Linked DNA regions of Cricetulus griseus. The protein of the gene in region 1 interacts with the protein of each later gene in a pairwise test. Links are inferred from orthologs where the notes say so. Each region holds a gene or a part of one and is shown in the gene's direction. Other genes may lie near its edges.

What was found.
Region 2: the proteins of myomegalin (region 1) and Ccdc146 interact in binary tests that used the Homo sapiens proteins (3 or more experiments, as listed by UniProt). The two-hybrid records come from large-scale screens. The link is inferred for Cricetulus griseus from reciprocal best matches to the Homo sapiens genes PDE4DIP and CCDC146.
Region 3: the proteins of myomegalin (region 1) and CUNH1orf109 interact in binary tests that used the Homo sapiens proteins (3 or more experiments, as listed by UniProt). The two-hybrid records come from large-scale screens. The link is inferred for Cricetulus griseus from reciprocal best matches to the Homo sapiens genes PDE4DIP and AIRIM.
Region 4: the proteins of myomegalin (region 1) and Tnik interact in a two-hybrid assay, tested with the Homo sapiens proteins (2 studies listed by BioGRID and IntAct). The link is inferred for Cricetulus griseus from reciprocal best matches to the Homo sapiens genes PDE4DIP and TNIK.
Region 5: the proteins of myomegalin (region 1) and Snca interact in a two-hybrid assay, tested with the Homo sapiens proteins (2 studies listed by BioGRID and IntAct). The link is inferred for Cricetulus griseus from reciprocal best matches to the Homo sapiens genes PDE4DIP and SNCA.

The regions. Positions count from the first base shown.
Region 1 is NW_023276806.1:58,761,919-58,766,030, forward strand, and holds part of myomegalin, read left to right. Parts: coding exon 1-100; intron 101-914; coding exon 915-1,107; intron 1,108-2,155; coding exon 2,156-2,272; intron 2,273-3,621; coding exon 3,622-4,112. UniProt on the Homo sapiens protein: Functions as an anchor sequestering components of the cAMP-dependent pathway to Golgi and/or centrosomes.
Region 2 is NW_023276806.1:173,067,373-173,071,911, forward strand, and holds the start of Ccdc146 (coiled-coil domain-containing protein 146), read left to right. Parts: upstream 1-1,531; 5' UTR 1,532-1,684; intron 1,685-4,539. Other genes in the region: protein FAM185A, read right to left, coding at 845-1,199. UniProt on the Homo sapiens protein: Essential for sperm flagellum biogenesis and male fertility.
Region 3 is NC_048595.1:28,111,552-28,114,692, reverse strand, and holds the end of CUNH1orf109 (uncharacterized protein C1orf109 homolog), read left to right. Parts: intron 1-676; coding exon 677-795; intron 796-929; coding exon 930-1,009; 3' UTR 1,010-2,398; downstream 2,399-3,141. UniProt on the Homo sapiens protein: Part of the 55LCC heterohexameric ATPase complex which is chromatin-associated and promotes replisome proteostasis to maintain replication fork progression and genome stability.
Region 4 is NW_023276806.1:120,727,739-120,732,367, reverse strand, and holds the start of Tnik (TRAF2 and NCK-interacting protein kinase), read left to right. Parts: upstream 1-1,646; 5' UTR 1,647-2,054; coding exon 2,055-2,111; intron 2,112-4,629. UniProt on the Homo sapiens protein: Serine/threonine kinase that acts as an essential activator of the Wnt signaling pathway. Recruited to promoters of Wnt target genes and required to activate their expression. May act by phosphorylating TCF4/TCF7L2.
Region 5 is NC_048601.1:81,930,444-81,934,555, forward strand, and holds part of Snca (alpha-synuclein), read left to right. Parts: intron 1-2,481; coding exon 2,482-2,624; intron 2,625-4,112. UniProt on the Homo sapiens protein: Neuronal protein that plays several roles in synaptic activity such as regulation of synaptic vesicle trafficking and subsequent neurotransmitter release.

The DNA.
Region 1 (4,112 bases):
GAAGAATCGACACCAAGAGCAGGAGAATGTGACCACAAGGCCTGGCCCCAGACCCCAGAGCCTCAATCTCGGGGCAGCCCTCTCAGTGGACACCCACCAAGTAAGTGAGGGCAGGGTAAGGTGAGAAACCCAAAGAAGGGCCAAGGTTTCAGTTTTTGTGTTACACTGTTCTGCCACGTGGGTCAGGAAGTACTGAGGGGGGGTGTACTTTGATGCTGCAAGCAGGGCTCTGTAATTGGAGGCATCCATTCGGCATTATTAGAAAGGGTTCCATACCATTGAATGGGTGTTTCTGAGCATTTAATTCCTAGTTACACACTGCGTTGGATGTGGGTTATGAGTTGATGTCTGCCCTCCAGGTGCTCAGCATGTGGAGGAGAATGTTCAGACACTGACTTCTTGTTGGATGTGACTGCCATACTATTGGGATGCTCTGGGTCTTGATGGAGGCCAGACCAATGGTGTGCAATGCTATCTTCTTACCACTGCTGCTTCCTCGGAGGTTCTGGAGTGTCTGTGTGATGGCCTCGTGAGAGGTCACTGATACCCTTCTGAGGGAAGGAACTTTGCCTTAGATTTGGTGAAATAGAGAATTCTGAGAAGGGCTCCAGGGACAGAAATGCAGAGAGGATGGAGTGGAGATTTCCACATCTTCCTTGCAAGCGATTGTGTAAATGTTTACTACAGGCTGTTCTAGAAACTTGACTGGCACTGTGCTGCAGTGCTGCAGAGAGAAACATAAATGTAACATTATCCCAGCTGCCCGGGAGCTGCCTGGAAGATAGAGAACTGCCAAATGGCCTGAGAACTGCTGTGGCAAGCACGTAATGCATGCAGTCCACAGTGTTCAGAGACAGAGAGGTGGCTGTCACACATAGAGGGTAACCTAATACTTGTACTGGGTCCTTTCACAGCTGGAGAACAAACCCCAGGCCCAAGACTCTGGACACCAGCCAGAATTTAGCCTATCAGGGTCCACCAAACACCTGCGTTCCCAGCTGGCTCAGTGCAGACAACGGTATCAAGACCTCCAGGAGAAGCTACTCATCTCAGAAGCCACTGTGTTTGCCCAGGCAAACCAGCTGGAGAAGTACAGGGCCATATTCAGTGAGTGTCACCAACTTATGGTCATCAAAGTGTCCTCTCCCCATGAAGTCACCTGTTTCTCAGCTTTTATCTTTCTACCCCAACCTGTAAACACTTCAGCCACGACTATAGTTATAGAACTGTGTGTGAATATTTTACTCCAACCTGTACATGGATGTAATGAATAAAGGAAGAAAACAAGGTTTTAACATTACAGCGATGGGGCTGGGGGTGGCTCAGTACTTTAGAACACTTGCTTCTCTTGCAGAAGACCCCAGTTTTGTTCTCAGAACCCACCAGGTGTCTCACAACCCTCTGTGACTACAGGTCAGGGCATCCAACACTCTCTTCTGGCCTCTAGCTATGCACACAGTGCACATATGTACACACAGGCAAAACATTCATTACATGTGAAGTAAAGATAAACACATCTTTAAATCTAGGTTGAAAAATAAAGGGCTGAAACAGATTAACGTCTGTACTTGCTGATTTCCAGGGCTGTCAGTTAGCTGACTTGGTTCTCTGTGTGTTATGTTTCCCCTCCTTTGCACCGTAACAGATTCTTCAAAATCCCAGCATCCCTGTTGCTCTAGAATCAATACTTAACCCAGGGACAGTGCTGCATGAACTTAGCAAGCTGAATTTGGTTAGTTTGATAAAGAATAATCATAGGTAGGTAAGTGCTACCTTATTGGACAGGGCAGGGCTAGATGTCTCAAGACTCTTAATCACCTCAGCTCCATTGAAACTAAGACCTTATAGACACAGGGCCTAATGATTTCAGTGGAGCTTCCTGACACAGCAACATGTAACTCCTGACTTGTCCATGTCTAGTCTCAACTAAGCCTCAGTTTTCAGAAGAGAGCCTCTCCATGGCAACCATGGGCTCACCCAGGTGGGGAGGGTGCCTATAAACTATAACAGGCTGTATCTTCTCCCATCAGGGTCCAAGAAAACCTCTTCCCCAGCCTGGCTCTGACTTCTTGGCCTTACAGGCTAGGGTATGTGCCGTTGAGGTTGGGGTAACATGTGGGACCCTATTCCACCCACTGTCTCTTCCCAAACACAGGTGAATCCCTGGTGAAACAGGACAGCAAGCAAATCCAGGTGGACCTTCAAGACCTGGGCTACGAGACTTGTGGCCGGAGTGAGAATGAAGCTGACCGTGACGAGACCACCAGCCCCGGTAAGCACACAGGGCCCCTTTCTCTCTCTAGAGTCAAATGCTGCATTTGGACGCCTGAGGCCACTCCCACCCATGATGAGCAGTGGGGCAGGGGAGTTGTGACTGAAGGAGACCCAGGACCAGGGAAGGACAGGAACTTTGGAGAACTCTTCAAAATGGGGCAACCAGTTTGAACTTCTATAGCTTCTAGCACACGGCTAATAAAAAAGAATTCAATATAACTGCTATTATAGAGAAATACCTATGCTTTTTTATTAGGAAACTGATATGTGGGCTTTGATGTATACCTAAACTTAAGTTTAGAATAAAATTTTGGTTTTGTACTCACAAAGGACTATTGGGAACCACAGAATTCCTACAGATTTGAAGCTGAGGCAGTATAGTGGGGCAGTCAGGGACAGATATCCAAAGATCAGACTGCTTGGTGCAAACCCAGTTTTTCTTTGTGCCTCAATTTCTCCATCCGCTAAAACAGCAATAAAGCAATTGTCCAACTCACTGGGTACTCATATCAACCGAAATGAATAAACTCTAGTAAAATACCCTGACCAACATTTTACTAGTAAAATGGTGACTGACTGTCATCGTGGCTGCCACCGCCCTGGCACAGCTTGTGGTAATATACTGACTGATCTATTTGGAAGGTCTTGTTTTCCTGGGCCTACTTTTCTTGCTGTTACAATCCAATAGTTTATTTTTTGGTTTTTTGTTTGTTTGTCTGTTTTGTATTTTGTTTTGTTTGGTTTTGGTTTTTCAAGACAGGGTTTCTCTGTAGTTTTGGACCCTGTTCTGGAACTCACTCTGTAGACAAGGCTGGCCTCTAATTCAGAGATCTGCCTGCCTCTGCCTCCTGAGTTCTGGGATTAAAGGTGCATGCCACCACTGTCTGATCTAGCCCAATCATTTTAAGTTATAGCACTGTTCCGGGATGTTGCAGAAGCACTGTTGTTTTGTAGTCCTTATGCTCATTTTAAAGCTATGAGGCTTTGTTAATGTCTCACTTAGGAGGCACTGACTGACTTGTGTGTTAAGGGCACAGGGCACAGGAGGGTTTGGGTCTGCTGTGTGTTCTGCATGGTCTGTGACTAGCTAGCTTACCACCTTCACCGCCTCCTGGAGAGCTTTTGGGTTCTCCAGCCAACAAGATGAAAAGTGGCTGCACCTTGCTCACAGGCCTATTCAGGAAGGAATGCTAAACATGAGTGCCTAACATACAGCCCGACCTAAAGAAAGCACTGCTCTGGGTTTTACCCCAGCACTTGATCCTGTGACCAGCCTGTTCCCCACAATGGAGTGGCCACAGCAGCACCTCCAGCTCTTCTTCAGGAAGATGTCTTTCTCTCTTTCAGAGTGTGAGGAGCACAATAGCCCAAGGCCTGTGATGCTCCTGGAGGGGCTGTGCTCTGATCAGGGGTATCTGGACCCCGTCCTGGACAGCCCACCTGCAAAGAAGCCTTTCGGGAACAACCTGGGGAGGCAGGAGGAGTTTCAAGTGCATGGCAGTTCTGATGACAGCTCTATCCTGAGGAAGGACATCAGAGATCTGAAAGCCCAGCTCCAGAATGCCAACAAAGTCATTCAGAACCTCAGGAGCCGGGTCCGGTCCCTTTCAGCTACAAGTGATTACTCCTCCAGTCTGGAGAGACCCCGGAAGCTGAGAACCATTGCAACCCTTGAGGGGTCTTCACCTCATAGTGTCACTGATGAAGATGAAGGGTGGCTGTCTGATGGCACTGGGGCTTTTTACCCTCCAGGGCTACAGGCCAAAAAGGACCTGGAGAGTCTCATCCAGAGAGTGTCCCAGCTGGAGGCCCAGCTCCCAAAAACCGGACTAGAGGGG
Region 2 (4,539 bases), about 110 Mb from region 1:
CATTTTTTCAACTGAGGCTCCCTCTTCCAGGGAACCTTGTATCAAGCTTTGATACCCTTGTATCAAGCTGCTAAAAATGAGTGAATGAATGAGGCATTGTGAAATTTACTTTCTAGCTGCCTTGCCGCCTTAAATGCAAAGAAATGAGGCTAGGATTTGAGCTGACTGGAATGGCTCAGCCTTTATGCTCTGTTGCTTCTCACCTGACTAGCCTAGATGACTAAGAGGCTGTGCCTTCCACATGTACTAATCTGAAGGTGCTGAGGGGGCTTTACCACAATACAGATTAAGGTGGTGTCTTAAGAGTTTCTGTCCTGTGAAGACACCATGACCACAGAAACTCTTATAACGGAAAACATTTAATTGGGTGGCTTATGGTTCAGAGGTTCAGTCCATTATCATCATGGAGGGACATTTCAGCTGCAAACAGATGGTGCTGGGGAGGGAGCTGAGAGTTCTACATCTTATGCAGGCAACAAGTAGTCTGTCTTACTGGGAGTCGCTTGAGCATAGGAGACCTCAAAGCCCACCCTCCACAGTGACACACTTCTTCCAACAAGGCCACTCCTCCCATTAGTGCCACTCCCTTTGGGGGCCATTTTCTTTCAAACCATCACAGGTGGGTGTCAATGGAGAGCTAAACAAAACTTAAAACAGCACCTGTGAAAATTGATGCCACCCCTGCTGTCAATCCCAATCTCATCGTTACTTCTAACCAGAAGCCTGCTTCTGGTTACTGTCTCCATGCCTCTACTCCGTAGGTCTCCAAATCTATATAGTTAACTTATTATTTGTTCCATGAAGTTGGAAAGCAGGAATCCTAACCAGTTTTCACTGCACTTGCCAAACCTGAGGGGCGCGTCCACCTCCACCAAGGCCCGGGGGTCGATGTCGTCCGACAGGACGGCCACCTCCCGCCGAGCGGCGTCGTACTCCACCTGCAGGCCGCGCGCCCCGCGCTCTGCACCGCGCACCGCCACCCGCACGCGCTCGCCGTCCGGGTGCGCCAGGGGATCCAGGGCCCTGACGAGCAGGTGGCAGGGGAGCCGCGTCCTCAGCCGCCAGAACGGGCTCACCCGCAGCGTCCACTGCATCAGCGCCGGGTCTCCGGGCGCCGAGCCCTGCCGCGCCCCGTGCGAGCCCCGGAAGAGGACGCTCGCCCGCCCGCGGAGGGCGCCCGGCAAGAGGCGGCCCCACATGCCCGCTCCGCAGCGCGGGACCAACAAGGCCTCCTCGCCACCGAGATAGAGGCCCGAAGGCTGTAAAGCAAACCCGGTGACAAGTGACAACTTCAAAGTACCACTGGTTAAAACCCTGACCCTGCTCTTCCTCTATTGCCGCCCTTGGTCGGAGGCCGCCGGGATATGTAGTTCTAAAGGTAGCGGATATCCAAGTGCTCCAGGGGCCTTGGAACTACATATCCCAGGAGACAGTGCGCCGGAGAGATAGAGTGACACGAGCTGATTGGTGGAAAAGCCTAGCCGTTGCTCCAATCTCATTGGCCCAAGAGACCCACGGACCAATGGAAAGAGCGGAAGGGCCAGGCTGCACAAGCGGCGCGGCTACCTTGGATACCAAGGACGCGACTCGTTTGGAGAGTGTGGAGTTTGGAGTGAGATTCCCAGGGACTAAAACCCGCGCAGAAAAATAAGAGTCTGAATAAGGACCAGAACCAAGAGAAAGGGTAAGAACGGCGTGTTCACAGACGGGAAGTAGACGCAGAGCTGCCCCCTGTAGGCTGGGCCCCCTCCTCCTCTGCCCTGTAAGGGAACTTCCTCTTGCCTAGAAAGTACTGGATAGAAAAGAGAGCTGGGCTCCTGGCTCTGTCCTAACTGTAAGCAACCTTAAGCCACTCATTCGGTGCCTTTAGGTTTTACTATTTTCTTGTAGAATGACGGCAACAGTATCTCCCTTGCCTTGTGTGGGAGGGTTTTTACAAGGATCCATTGAAACTACAGTTGACAAAGTAGTGCACAGTCTACAAAACGAGTAAAGTGGTGTTTTAGGAATAGCATTGTTTCTAAATTGCTGGGAAATTTTGAGGCATTTGGTCTCGTTTAGATTTTTTTCTTTTTTAATTTTTTTAATTTTAATTAGAAAGATTAGTTTACATGTCAATTTCAGTTCCCTCTCTCTCCCATCCTCTCCTGTCCCCCCAACTAACACCCTACCTATCCTAAACCCTTTCTGCTCCCCAAGGAGGGTGAGGCCTTCCATGGGGGGCGTCTTCAGAGTCTGTGGTAGCCTTTGGGATAGGGCCTACGCCCACCCCCTTGTGTCTAGGCTCAGGGAGTATCCCTCCATGTGGAATGGGCTCCCAAAGTCCATTCCTATGCTAGGGCTAAATACTGATCCATTACAAGGGGCCCCATAGATTTCCAAGGTCTCCTCACTGACACCCTCATTCAGGGGGTCTGGATCAGTCCCATGCTGGTTTCCCAGCTATCAGTCTGGGGACCAAGAGCTCTCCCTTGTTCAGGTCAGCTGTTTTATAGATCTCTTTCACTACAAATGATCCTCGGGGTTAGTGGTAAAAAACTAAAAGTTTTTTTTTCCCATAAGACTTGTGAGGGGAAAGTCTTTTTTCCTGGCCCTATTGGTTTATCTGTGTCACAGGGACCTGGTCCTTCATTTTTGAGGTAAAGATAGAATGTACTAAATAACTCTATAAGGCTTCTTTCCTTCTTTATTATTAAGTAGGCAGTAAAAATAAGGAAAGTGTGGGGTGCAGCCATTATTTCACCCTTGCTTGCCTAGCCTCTCCCACTCTCTACAAACAATTCCCTAAATTCCTTAAGTATAGATAGATAAGTTTGATAGAATGCCAGTCCTATGTATCGGTGTTCACTTTTAATCCTCCAGAATTTGGAAAGCTGAAGCTGAGGATCTCAAATCTGAGGTCACCCTGCACTACATAAAGGGAACTCTGTCTCAAAAAATAAAATAAAATGGTGCCTTTAAAGACAGAAGCCCTCAGCCAAAATGAGGACCCCAAATCTTGGGACCTGAAGTAACAGAGAGATTGGTAGACTGATCTAAAGTCTTCAGCAGTGTCTGTATTATTCCTTTAGTGAAGATTATGGTAGCCTCGGTGCAGCAGCCCAGACCTGCTTCCAGCAGCCCAAGAAGTCCTCTTACCCTTGGGGACTTCCACTGAGGCGAAGCCCTTCCTTGGCTTTACTGCAAAAATTAATGTTGGAATTAGCTAGTATGAAAGAGTTGGAGTTGATTTAAAAAAGAGAGATTTTAAACATAGATTTATGAAGCATAGGGGTTGACAGAGATGATCACTCAGGGAAAATAAGACATGCTCAAGAACACAGGTGTAGGCTTTTCAAAGACATTATACCCTCAAGTGTCTTAGCAGGAGCTCTGGAGAGTCACTCTTTTGGTGGTTCTCAAGTTACGCCTTGAAAGATTTCTTAGAAAGGATTTTAAAACCTTTTCTCTCTTTTTTTCTCAATAAGTTATATTATTGGATGGTTCTAGAGGTGTCCTAGACTGGATTACTGTCCAAAAATAAAACCACGTGTCATAAGAATGGTAGAAGAGGGTATTAACTGTAAGAGGTATTTACTGTAGATAGGGTTTCTGGTGAGATTCCTAGAAAATTGCTGGTTTATAGCTGAGAAAGAAGAAAGGCCTCTTGTGTTTAGGTCTTGGGCGTGATCCATTGCTACTTCAACATTCTAATTTGGAGATATCTCTATATAAAAGAAATGTTACCTTTCTATTGGCACCCTTCATAAATAATGTTGTAACTTCGTTAGAATTCATGATTTCAGCTGACGAGAGGCACTGGTAGCACTCTGAGATGAAGGTTCCTTTCCTTCCCATGTCTCCATCATTTCTGTGGTTCTAGCCTGCCTCTGGAAGATATAAAATACATTTTATGCTAAGCAAGAGCCTGCTCTATGAATAATGTCCTTAGCTTTGTGTTTTATGTGGACATAATTATCAGATTAGTTTTCAAATTATCTTTTTATGAAAACCCATAGGCATATTTTTGAAAAAGTGAAAATGGCACAAGCAAGTTGACGATGAATTCAGATTACTTGTATGATTGCTACATATAGTAAATAAAATGCATCCATAATAAATTATCCTGTTTCTATAGTAATTTTCCCATTCTGAGAAAAATTAAATTAATAGAATTGCCAACTGAGCCCTAATGGCATATGTAATACTATCATTATTTCATTACTTTCAAATAAAGGAACTAAAACTTATTGAAAATTACATTTCTGGTTTCATGAGGTTGAGAACTGAGACTCTGATCGATATTAAAGTTACCAACACCTAACATGTATATATCACATGTAAATAGTGACTAACAAATACCATTTTCAAAACATGCTTATGTGCATTGTCTCCCTATATCCTCACAAAACACTGTTAAGAAGGATAGCTGTTACTCTCCAAGAGTGACATGTAAGGAGACAGATTTAGAAACAGAAGGTGAAGCCAATATGATCCAGAAATTGTGGGTTTGGGCGACGAAAGCATAAAATTATGAATGTACAAGAATTTTTGTCTTAT
Region 3 (3,141 bases), on another chromosome or scaffold:
CTTTCTACTTTAGCCAACCGTGTCAGGACACTGGGAGGCTTGCAGTGCCAGTCCACTCCATGCTTCCTCTGCCCTGTGCCTTTGTTTCTCTGTTTCTTCCAGTGGTGTGTTCATCTGAACTGCCAGACTTTTGTTTTTGTGTTTGTTACCATTTTGATTTCTCTAAATAGTGCTGGGATTAAAGGCGTGGGCCTCTACAGCTGACTAGAACTGCCACTGAGTTGTTTTGTTTTGTTATTTTTTTAATAATGTATTTACTTTTATTTTATGTGCATTGGTGTTTTGCCTGCATGTATGTCTGTGTATTTTGCCGGCATGTATGTCTTAATAACCATGTATGTCTCAGATCTTGAAGTTACAGATAGCTGTTAGCTGCCATGTGGGTGCTGGGAACTTGTGTTCTCTGTTAGAGCAGTCGATGCTTTTAACCACTGAGCCATCACTCCAGTCCCCTGTCACTGAGTTTTATCTTTCAAGTCACTTTGCTCTTCTGTCTGGTCCACCCTCAGCCTGTGAGATCCGAGTCCCTTTCCTAGTAGCATCAAGTTGTACTGCGGTACTGGTGCTCATCATTCCTCTTGGCACTGGTGAACCCTGCCCACCTGGGAAGGTATATTGATGTCACTTTTAGCTTCCCAGATTTCCTTTTTTTGAACAGTCCTTAACTTCTGGGAAGGTACCTGAAGAGAAAATACCTCCTTTCCTCCATCCACTGGGGAGACTTGGCCAGCATCCAAGCACTGCCTAAGGCCTGGAACCAAATTTCAGAAGATGAGTGCCAAACCCTTGTGCCAGGTACTGGTTTCCATTAGTTCCCCATGCTGCCTCCCTATCCCTGTTGCTGCTTGCCTCTTTGGAGGTGTTAGAGACAACCCTGCTGTGCTTTGGGGCCTTAATAACCCTGTCTTGTACCCCTCTTCCTGTTCTAGATATCCTGGTGAGCGTCTCCTTCTTCCTGGAGGAGCCAGGATGCTGCACAGTGTCTGGAGATCAGGAGTCCCGCAGTTGAGTGCAGCCCTCAGCTTTCTAAGTGAACCTCAGCACCACAGCCTGATGGACTGAGACACCAGTTCCTATGGTAGAGGTCCCTAGCATGACTTCTTGCTAGGCCATGGCCAAGGATCCATGACCACTGCACCTGCGGCTCTGGGAGGTGGATGGGGTGGAGGAAACAGGAAAGGCAGCGCTGATAAGCGGTGTCCATCGCTATCAGTAGGCTTGAAGTGGCAAGGAAGGAAAGGACAGGAGGCAAAGGTCCACAGCTGCCTCCGCCTCTGCGTCAGCTGAAGCACTTTGGTTGACTCAGGTCTTGGTTATGTGTGTATCACTATCTTGAGTCCTTAGTGGTTTAAAGATAGGAGTGGGTCTAGGAGTGAAGGGCAGTAGCAGTGTGTGTGTTGCACACATGAAGCCCGATTCAATCCAAAAAAGGGACGGATTGAAGGAAAGGGAGCATTTAAAATGTTTATCCCTTCCCAGTAGGAATCAAGCCAATTTCCATTTCCAAAGCCAGCCACCAGGGGGAGATGGTGCAGCGTGAGCGGTTCTGAATGCTTTGTCCTGGAGAGGTCCCCTGTTGCTGTTAAAAGTAACTGAGGGGGGCTGGAGAGATGGCTCAGCAATTAAGAACACTGGCTGCTTTTGAGGACCCACATGGCAGCTCACAACTGTCTGTAACACCAGCTCCAGGGGATCTGACACCTTCACACCAATGCACATAAAAGAAATAAGTTAAATAAAGTTAAAAAAAAAAAAGTAACTTAGTGCTGGGAATATCAAACCCACCACTGGTGAGGCAAATACAGGTGAGCTCTGTGATTTTGAGATCATCCTGGTCTACATAGCCTCCAGACTAACCAAGACTACATACTGAGGTGCTGTCTCAAAAAAAAAAAAAAAAAAAAAAAAAAAGGAAAAAAAAAGGAAAAAGAAAAGCGGGAAAGAAAGAAGTTAACTGAGAAGAGTGATACTACTACTCAGATCCAGGGTTGTGACCTCTCATTGGCTATATTCTTCTGGGTTTGGAGTGACTGCTCAGGTAGGCAAATATGCCAGCTGATTAGTTGGCATATGCCATTGATTGTTAGTTGTGATTGATTGTTTGACCTGGGGAGGGAGTCTCAACAAGGAATGTTGTAGATTTGGGTGGCCTGCAGGCAAGCCTGCAGAATTTTCTTAATTGTGGTGAAAAGAGCCATCCTGAATGTGGTGTCATTTCATGGCTGGGCCCTAGATGGAATGAGAGAGCAGGCTGAGCACTAGCAGACATGCATTAATCCATTGTTCTTTACCATGGGTGTCATGTGACCAGCTGCTCCAAGTGCTTGCAGCCTTGATGTTTCTGCAATGATGGACTGTACCCTCAAATTATGAGCCTAATAAACCCTTTCTCCCTTCAGTTGCACTTGTCTGTGTTTTAGGGTTCTCTAAAGGAACAGAACTGATAGAATACATACATATATATGGGGGGGAAGAGAGGGAGGGAGGGGGATATTGGAGTGAGAGGGAGGGCAGGCAAGCCTAATGCAAAAGCTTTCTTCTTCCATGTGCTTTTATGTGGTCCAGACTTGGGATGGGTCTTCCCACCTCAAATGATCCAGATTTAGGGTGGGTCTTCCCACCCCTAATGATCCAGTCAAGAAAATCCCTCACAGACATGCCCAGTTGCGTGGGTTTTGGGTTTTAGTTGATTCCAGCTGTGGTCAAGTTGACAGCCAAGATTGGCCATCATACACAGTAACAGGAAATAAGCTGAGAAGCAGCCTTGAGTCATTGATCAGAGCCATACTCACCCTCTGTGCAGTGGCCACTTGCCTTGGGATCCCAGCTGGTAGAAGTCAAGGCTGCCATGAACAGGACTTAATACAGAGGATGGATACATTTAAAAAGAAAGTGGCTTTGTTTAGTTTTGTTTGAAACAGATACTTAATGGTGTTTGGTAATAACTTACTTAAATAGAATTGTTCTTTTTTTCTTCACTCTTTTGTTTATTTGTTTTTTGTTTTTCCCACAGGGTTTCAGGGTTTCTCTGTAGCTTTGGAATCTGTCCTGGAACTCACTCTGTAGACCAGGCTGGCTTCAAATTCACAGAGATCCACCTGCTTCTGCCTCCTGAGTGCTTAGATTAAAGGCGTGCACCAT
Region 4 (4,629 bases), about 62 Mb from region 1:
GGAAAGATGGCTTTTATGCCTTTCCCTCATAGTGGCTTAAGGGTCAGCACCCATTACATAAGCTGAATGGCTTCATTAGAGAATTCATAATAAATAGAGTCCTTCAAATATTTTAAAACATTAAAAAAGTTTCAGCATATAGGCTTTAGAGGCACAGCTCCCAGACCACTGCTGACATGTGTATATGCCCTGGGAACAGCATTCCAGCGTCATGGGTCGTTCTATAGGGCATTTGATTCACCAGAGTGATCCCAGACTGAAACAAGTCAGGCCAACACTAACAGCATTAGCATGTGTTCACTCATTCACTCAGCTAACATATTCCGAAGTTTACACGTCATGATTTAAGAAGTAGCAGCAGCCCAGGTGTTGGTGTACACTTGTAATCCAAGCACTTGGGAAGTGTTTGCAGGAGGATGAGTTCAAGGCCACCCTTAGCTCCACAGTGAATTAGAAGCCACGCTAAAGTACATGAGGTCCTTCCCCCACCCCCAAAGAAAGCAAAACAAAAAGCAAAGTAAAAACCCAAACCCGCAATGCAATGCACTTGTTCTCTTGTCTTAGATGTGAAAGGAACACCCTAGGAGCTATTGATGAAGGGAATGGAGAGAGTTCAGTATTAATGTCTTCTTCAAACGTATTTTGCGTGGCCAAACCAGGAGAGAGGAAGGTCTGTGGGGGCTGGGGAAGTGATTTCACATTTTTGATAACAGAAAGTCCTGTTACCACTGCAAACACCCAGCGTTTGAGTTAAAAAGCAGGTGAAGTCAAATTGCTAACATGTCAGCTCTTCCTCTCTCTGAGCTAAACTTTCCCCATCAATCCTGGTAGGTCACCAGGGAAAAGCAGCAGAGAAGGAAACGCTGGCTTTGGCGGCGGAGTGTCGCCCAATTAATGTCGTTCTGGGAGTCACCTGAAGCCTTCCAGCTACTGCACCCAAGGAGCAAGCTTTGCTTTTCAATTCGGTCATTTCCATGGGGAATTGCGGTACGCGCAGGTCTTGGGTGTGGCGATGTCGAGACGGAGCTCACATCTCCAGGCTTTCCACCTTCTGGCCAACCCACCCAGCTGAGAAAACTACGGATGAAACGGACCTGCCTTCCTGAAACTCAGGGACCGCGAAGGACCGAGACCAGGCGGCCACTGCCCAGCGCCAAAGCCAGGCTGCGCGCTCCGCGCGTGTAAGCTTCTCCCCAACCCGCTCTGTGCGGGGAGGCGGATCCCCTTTCCTGCGCACAAGTCCTTATATGCACCGGTTGCACCGGCCCGCCTTTACTCCAGCCCCACAAATAATTAATGGAGGAGGCTGGACGCTGCTGTCTTTTCCCGCTGCCTTTCCTCACCACCCTTTACACTATTAGAGCATCTGAATCCAGTCAAGAAACCCCAAGATGCGATCGAAGGGCCATTTTGGTGCATTGCACAAATTGGACACATTAAAAAATAGCCTTCGGATCTCTGTACAGCGAGGTTCAAGATCTGCTCTTCGATTCAGCACTATTAACCCGCAAAAACTGGGACGGAAAGGGTGCGCGCCCCTCCCCCACCCAGGCTAGTGCAGAGGGACCCGGTCAGGAAGCGCGGCCTCTCCCCAGTCGGAGACCACGCCTCCTCCCCCCCACTCCTCCCAGGAAGCGGTGATAGACAGTTCTGTGTGGTTCTCCACCCCCACCCCCCCAGCTGAGTGGAGGAGTTGATATGTCTCATTATAACAGCCAATGCAGCCGCCATCCACGCACAAGCAAAGAAGCATGTCCCATTTAAATACACCCACGCAGCCCCAGCGCCCTTAGCCGATCAGGGCGCGCAGCCCACACGCACCGCGGCTCCGGGCTTGGAGATCCGCGCAGGTCGGGCTCCGGGATCCCGCGGATCGACACTCTCGGAAGATCGGGATCTCACTCTGGTTGGGGCCCGGGTGGGCGGGGGAGGCTGGGCCCCGGGCCTCTCTGGCGGACAGCCGCATGAGGACGCGAGCGACATAGACCAGGGTGGAATTGCCAAGGCAGACGTTTCTGGCTGGTTTTGGTCCATTTCTCCCGCGAAGAGTCGACATGGCGAGCGACTCCCCAGCTCGCAGCCTGGATGAAATCGATCTCTCCGCCCTGAGGGTGAGCAGAACGTGGTTTTTTTTTTTTTTTTTTTTTTTTTTTTTTTTTTTTTTTTTTTTTTTTTTTTGTGTGTGTGTGTGTGTGTGTGTGTGTGTATGTTTGTTTGTTTTCCCCCCTTTCTTTTCAATGGTCTGGGGCTGGGCGAGGGAACGTTCCCGGTCTTCCTATCCTGATTCCAGGGCAGCGGATGGGGTTCTAGGCTGAGCCCCTACCCTACAGCAGGGGCTGGGCTGCCCTTGTGCTCCTCGACTGTGCTTCCCGAGGCTCCGCAGGGAAGCCGGTGGAGCTTATGTCAGTTTCATCTTCGATTGGTGTAAGAGAATTACATGGAAGGAGTGTGTGTGTGTGTGTGTGTGTGTGTGTGTGTGTGTGTGTGTGTGTGTGTGTGTGTGTGTGTGTGTGTGTGTGTGTGTACCCGAGCAACTGTCTCTTGCCAAGGCTCGAGACCCGACTGCTCTTTGCTGCAAAAAGAATTTCCTCAAGAATAAAGGCACTGGCCTCTCAGGTTTGCCAGCTACCTGCAAGATGCCATCGTGAGTCTAGCTGTCTCCACCAGCCGACCCTGTCGCTCCAAGGGGGCAGTAATTGCTGTTCCGGGCTGGTCTAGTAGATGGCAACTGACCCCTCCCGGGTTCTGCCTCTGGTGCGGGGGCTCAGGCTCAGCGCTTCCCTCGACGCCAGGGTGCACTCACCTTTATCTGCGGTTTGAACTCAGCCCTGCCTATGCCTTTCTAACTCGGTGACTGTGACCTTTCAGTTTTATGGCTGAACTTCAGCAGGTGAAAGGGACGCTTTAGCAGCTTCTCCCTACCACACCGGAACTCCCTGGAGAGACTGTGTGTGCGTGTGTGTGTGTGTGTGTGTGTGTGTGTGTGTGTGTGTGTGTGTGTGTGTGTGTGGTTCCCGGGTCTGTGACCAGTCCTTTGTAGAACACCTTCCCTTCCCCCAACTCTGCCGCTTTGCCTTTACCTTCTTCCGAGACACCTCAGACGTCGTTCCATTGTATTGAATAAGACTTTAGTGATCTAGAATCCATTTTGCTGTTGTTTGGAGATCATACTGCCAGGAACCCCATTGCAGCTTCGACGCTTCCCCACCCCCACCCCTAATCCCAGCACACTCCTTCGGGGAAGGGAGCCCAGCGTTCTTGCCATTTTAATTAGATGCTGCCTGCCAGGAAGGGGGTAAGGAGGGGTGGTGATGGTGGCAGCAGCAGGGATCTGAGAAAGATTGGACACCAATCTCAGTACGACTAGTTTCTTCCTCTCCTGAACTAAAAATAAAATAAAGAGCAAATGCATATGCTTGTTGCCAGTAGGGTAGGTGAGACTGAAGGGATGGTGGCTCATGTCACCGACTGTCAGTATAGGTGGAAGTTGAGTGATCTTCCTGAACACATTGTTAGATTGATGATGCTTAATCTCGAGGCCATTTACCTGTGTCTCGGAAGCTTTTCCTGCAGTTACCTCTTTCTCTACAGACATTTTTAAAAGGTAGCTACCTGTCTGATTGAAGTGATACTTTTTCCTTAGGCTCAGAGCCACTTTTCCGCCCACACCTTGAATCCTTGGCCCTTTCCTTATCTTTTGGTCCAGAAAGGTGGAGGATTCAGAGAGGCAGGCTGAGGACTGACTGACTGCCCTTTGAAACCGGCTGCGGGCTGCAGTGATAGTGGAGCAGCAAAAGCTCATTCATGCATGATTACAGTAGGCTGTCCGTTCCTCTAGTGCCCAAAGGCCACATCCGCAACCAGGGGGCAACTGAGTGTGGGGGTGGGGCTCAGAGTGGGTGCTTTGGGCCAGTGCATGTGTGACTCTCTTATCACTGTGCTCTCTTTTGCTCCACTTCTGCCTGGACCAGTGGCCCAGACTTGGGGAAGGAGGAGTGGCCAAGTGGTAGCTGCCTGAACAATGAGCCAGGCTTGTGATTTAGCTGAGACAGAATCTTAGCATCATTCTCCCTGACATGATTTTTAAGTTGGGGGGCGGGTGTATGGCTCCTGTGGGCCAGATTTTCTGAGATGCCTAGCGCACAGAACCTGTCCTCAGGGCTACTAGATTCTCATTCAGGGAGACCTGTGTCCTGTAATCTGTATTTGGAACAGGTATCTTTGCATGATTCACTAGGATTGCTCTTTGTCACCTGGGAAGCTCAAAGGATCCTCTGCCTTCACTGGGGTATGCAAAGAGCTAGGACAACAGCTACTCCCTGTGCCTGGGAGCTGATGGCTGAAAGACTTCTGCAGATGGGCAGACAGTTGTACTCAGCAGGCCTTGGAGCTTCAGGCAGTCTTGTGGTGGGTGAGGCGTGCAGGTACGTTTGCCTCCCAGGGCTAGTGGCTGGGCCACACACATCAGAGAGGAGATGCTGGCTGGCTCCCCAGATTTGGAGATGTTGGTTCCTAAGCTTGCTAAAGCCTGTAAGCGAACACCTCCTGAGGAAAAGCCTGACCCCTGAAATGCAGGCAAGGTCAGTGAGTCAGCCTGCCAACCCCTCCATGTTCCTGTGGCTCTTTAAT
Region 5 (4,112 bases), on another chromosome or scaffold:
CTGCTGGTCCTGAGATCTATAGGAAAGCAGGCTGAGCAAGCTAGGGCAAGCATGCCAGTAAGCAGCTTTTGGCCCCAGGATCCTGCCCTGCTTGAGTTCCTGTTCTGACTTCCTTTGGTGATGAACAGCAATGTGGAAGTATAATCTGAATAAAACCCTTTCTTCCCCAACTTGCTTTACGGTCATACTGTTTCATCACAGCAGTAGAAACCCTAACTAAGATAGTAGCTAAATTCTCTTTTGATCATTATTATAACATCTTTAACCACAAAATAGAAGTCATTTATTAAACAGACAGAGCACTAAAAGGTTTGTTTCCTTTTGTTTTTTAAGGCAGTGCCAATGAGTAGATAAACTGTAAACCTTAAAGACAGAATATATTCCTACAGATGTTTATAATTTTATCTTTTTAGCCATAGCTATTATTATACTACCATATTCTGTCATTTTATAATGTTCTTTATTATTTTTATAAAACAGTAAAATGGAAATCACGTATAAATTATACTTACTGTACAATTTTTGTGTTTTAAAAATAACAGATTAAAGTTTATATTTATATAAAGAAGTGTGCACATTAAGTAAAGTTTATGGTTGGCAGAAAACATGAGGATGTAAAAAGGCAAAGCCTATTTTGTCTTGCTTTGAGATGTTTTAACAAGAAAATGTTAATCTCAAGCAAATTTTTAAATCATATTCTTGGAAGAAAAAGTAACAAGCTGAAACAGAGTTCAGTATAATTCCAGTGCTGTTTAAAATCAATTTTTCTAATATAGCTCTGCTCTGGCCTTTAAAATTACTGTGAATATCCAGTGCTCTTCAAGTAGCACACTGAGGGGCAGGGATTCCATAGGCAGACTTAGCTCAAACCTGAAAGGCAGCTATAGAGTCACCTATGTGAATTCTGGTTGCAGTCTGAGTGACCTTCAGGCTTCCCCACACTGCTTGGTCTAAGGGGTCAGCTGTGACTTTACAAGCCAACTAAACTTCATTTCACAACTTGTTCCTTCCGAATTAATTTTCATTGTCCACATTATTGGATTATTTGTCTTTCTGGCTGATGACATGAAATCTGTATAGTGCAGTAACCATGTGAACAGTTGATGTGGTGTGATTCCTCAGCTCAGGCTACGAGGATACAGGCTTCTCAGGAGATCCTGAAGAAGAACATGCTTTTTTGCTCAAGAGAGAAAACACAGGAGGAGTGGGGACTCAACAACCTAATGCTGATATATGGGGCAAAATAAAAAAAAATTGTAGAGTAAATGAAAGGCAAACATGACATCCATTCGAATGAGAGTTGGGAGACATTTGCCTTTGTGGATATAGGATTTAGAGGTTCAGGTGCAGACAGGTTCTTTTACTTTTTCACTTAGTATTATTTAAAAAGTGGGCTCTCATGTCTTTCACTCCTTGCATGGAACTATGGAGTTAATGGAAATACATTTGATTTGCATTAACTGAAATTTTGTCTTAACATTTTTGTTTGGCTGGAGGGATAGCTCAGTGTGAAGAACACTTGCTCCTCTTCCATAGGATCAGAATTATGTTCTCAGCACCCATGCTGGGAGACCTTCATTGTCCCGTAATTCCAGCCCCAGGGGATCTGACAACACTATCTGGCATCCTTGTGCACCTGCACACATGTGCACATAACTGCCCCAAGAGACACAAGTACACATAATTAAAAATAATCTTTTAAAATAACTATCTTTTTCTTTACCATGTCTTTTTCTATCACCTATTTCCAAATCATTCTAGGAGCATGTTTGAACACATAGGGCCTCCTTATCAGAGGTGCTTAAGGAACACTTGCTTTAGATTTCAATTATTTTTGATTTGGGGATAAATGCACACTTATAATGAGTTGTCTTGGTAATAGGACGCAAGTCTAAACATGAAATTCACTTATACTATATATACCTGTACATATTATCTGAGGGCAATTTCATATTCTATTTTAGAATAATTCTGAACATGCAACAAAGTTTATGGTTGAAATTTTCTGCTGGTGGTACGAATTGGTGGTACGTGAAAGTGAAAGATTTAGGAACATTTTGAATTTTGTACATAGAAAACAGTGAATCTAGATGTGGGAGAGGCATGTACTTTGAGCAGATAATGGAAGTGAACTTTGTAAATGAGATCAAATAGTTGGCATCGAAACTGAAATAGTGCTCAAAGAGTCTGACAACTTAATACTGTACCTAGTGCCTTGTTTTCTGTCTATGTGCCTCAAGGCAAACCAAATCTTGTTTGCATTGTGTTATAACTAAACTCTCAAGATTTTCTAGTCTATACATAATTGTAACACAGACCCAGTGTTTGGCTGCACCCTGTTGGTTCTCCCTTGGTGTCTTGTTTCTTCAGACTCTTGCTATCTATGGCATGGGTGTATGTAGAAGTTGACAGCTATTGGAAGCAGAATTAAGGTCTGCCACACCACTATCTTTTAATGTTGTTGCTCTTGATTTTCTTAAGTGGCTGAGAAGACCAAAGAGCAAGTGACAAATGTTGGAGGGGCAGTGGTGACTGGTGTGACAGCAGTTGCCCAGAAGACAGTGGAGGGAGCAGGGAACATTGCTGCTGCCACTGGTTTCGTCAAGAAGGACCAGCTGGGCAAGGTAAGGCTGCTGATTTGTACAATGATAAACCAAGTACACCAAGATTCCTTACAGGTATCAGAAAGCAGCCATTGGATGCGCACTGGGGGGAAGGATTGCACTTTTATAGGGCTCTTATTTTGACATGCTATGGAAAATGTCATGCACATTGTACAATATCCTTGATTGTTTGAATTTCTGAAAGAAAGCTACAGAAGTGAACAGTACAGTAAGTGCTGAAGAATTGGTGACATTTCAGAAAGAATGGCTGCTTTCATATGGATGATGGGTCTGGAATTCCTCTTTGTGGAAATAGCAATTTGTTTCTCTGTCTAATTCCTAAATTTCCAGAAAGAAGATCTTTTATTTGATTTCTTTGTAATGATCCAATCTCTTATTATATGACATATTTGCATATCAAATATCAATTCCTTACCAAATATATGCTTTTGAAAACTGAGAGACTTAAAGTACATACCAAACACAGATCATGGTTTCATATGGTGACTCTTACATTTCTAGAATTTTAAATTGGCTTCTGGATAAATAAAGGGCTCTAGTGACATATTCTAGGTATAAAAATGGAGTCTCTTACCAGAAAAATACATGATCATGTACTAAAGGACAAATATAAAAAGAAGGCCATCAACAGAACATCAGCTTAAAACTATTTCTTGATTTTACAATGAGGAATGCAGAATTCACAGCGGGGAAGTGAGCATCATTTTCCTGTAGCCTGTTGGAGTTACCTGGATGACCCTACACACATCTATCTGAACTGTCACTTCCCTAGCCATATCCAACACACAGCTTCCTCTGATGTGTAGATTGAATTATGCAATACTAAAGTTAGTGGAAGAATTTGTTGCTTTGGATATAGAAAGGCTGGGAATCATGTCTCATTTATTTCCCACTTAGCTTGCATTTAAAATTTGCAATATAAATCACAAATGGGTCATTAAAAACACTTTATGTCAACTTGGGCTTGTTTTGTACCTTTAAAAAATACCAATCCTTATTTTAATATTCTAAAGCAGAAATTTACCAATGTTACAAAATGAGACATTTGCAGATATTTCCCATATGGGTACTGTAGGTTCTTAAGATATTCTAGTATAAAAATGAAGCCATAAACACAGAAATTGAAGTCAGAATTTGAGATAAAACCCAGTGGGTTTGGGATTAAAATGTTTGATCCTCTTCATATTATACTGGGTCATTCGCTAGGTATGAAATCTTGTGTTCAGTGCCTAAGACCCTTTCATATGTAATAAGGGAATTCTACTACTTCATCAGAAAGCTGATGAAGCCCAGATTAGCAATGACATTTTTAATATCTATAATAATTCAAGGAATACTCAAATAAATGCCAGTAATTGTGGCCATATTTCTTGATGCTAAGAATACCCACAGTTTAAATAAAATCAAATTTATTTGTAATGAAATTTGAAATATTTTATTTCATCTTTCTGATTCTAATCAAAATTATCTTGGTGAAGAGAAACAAGC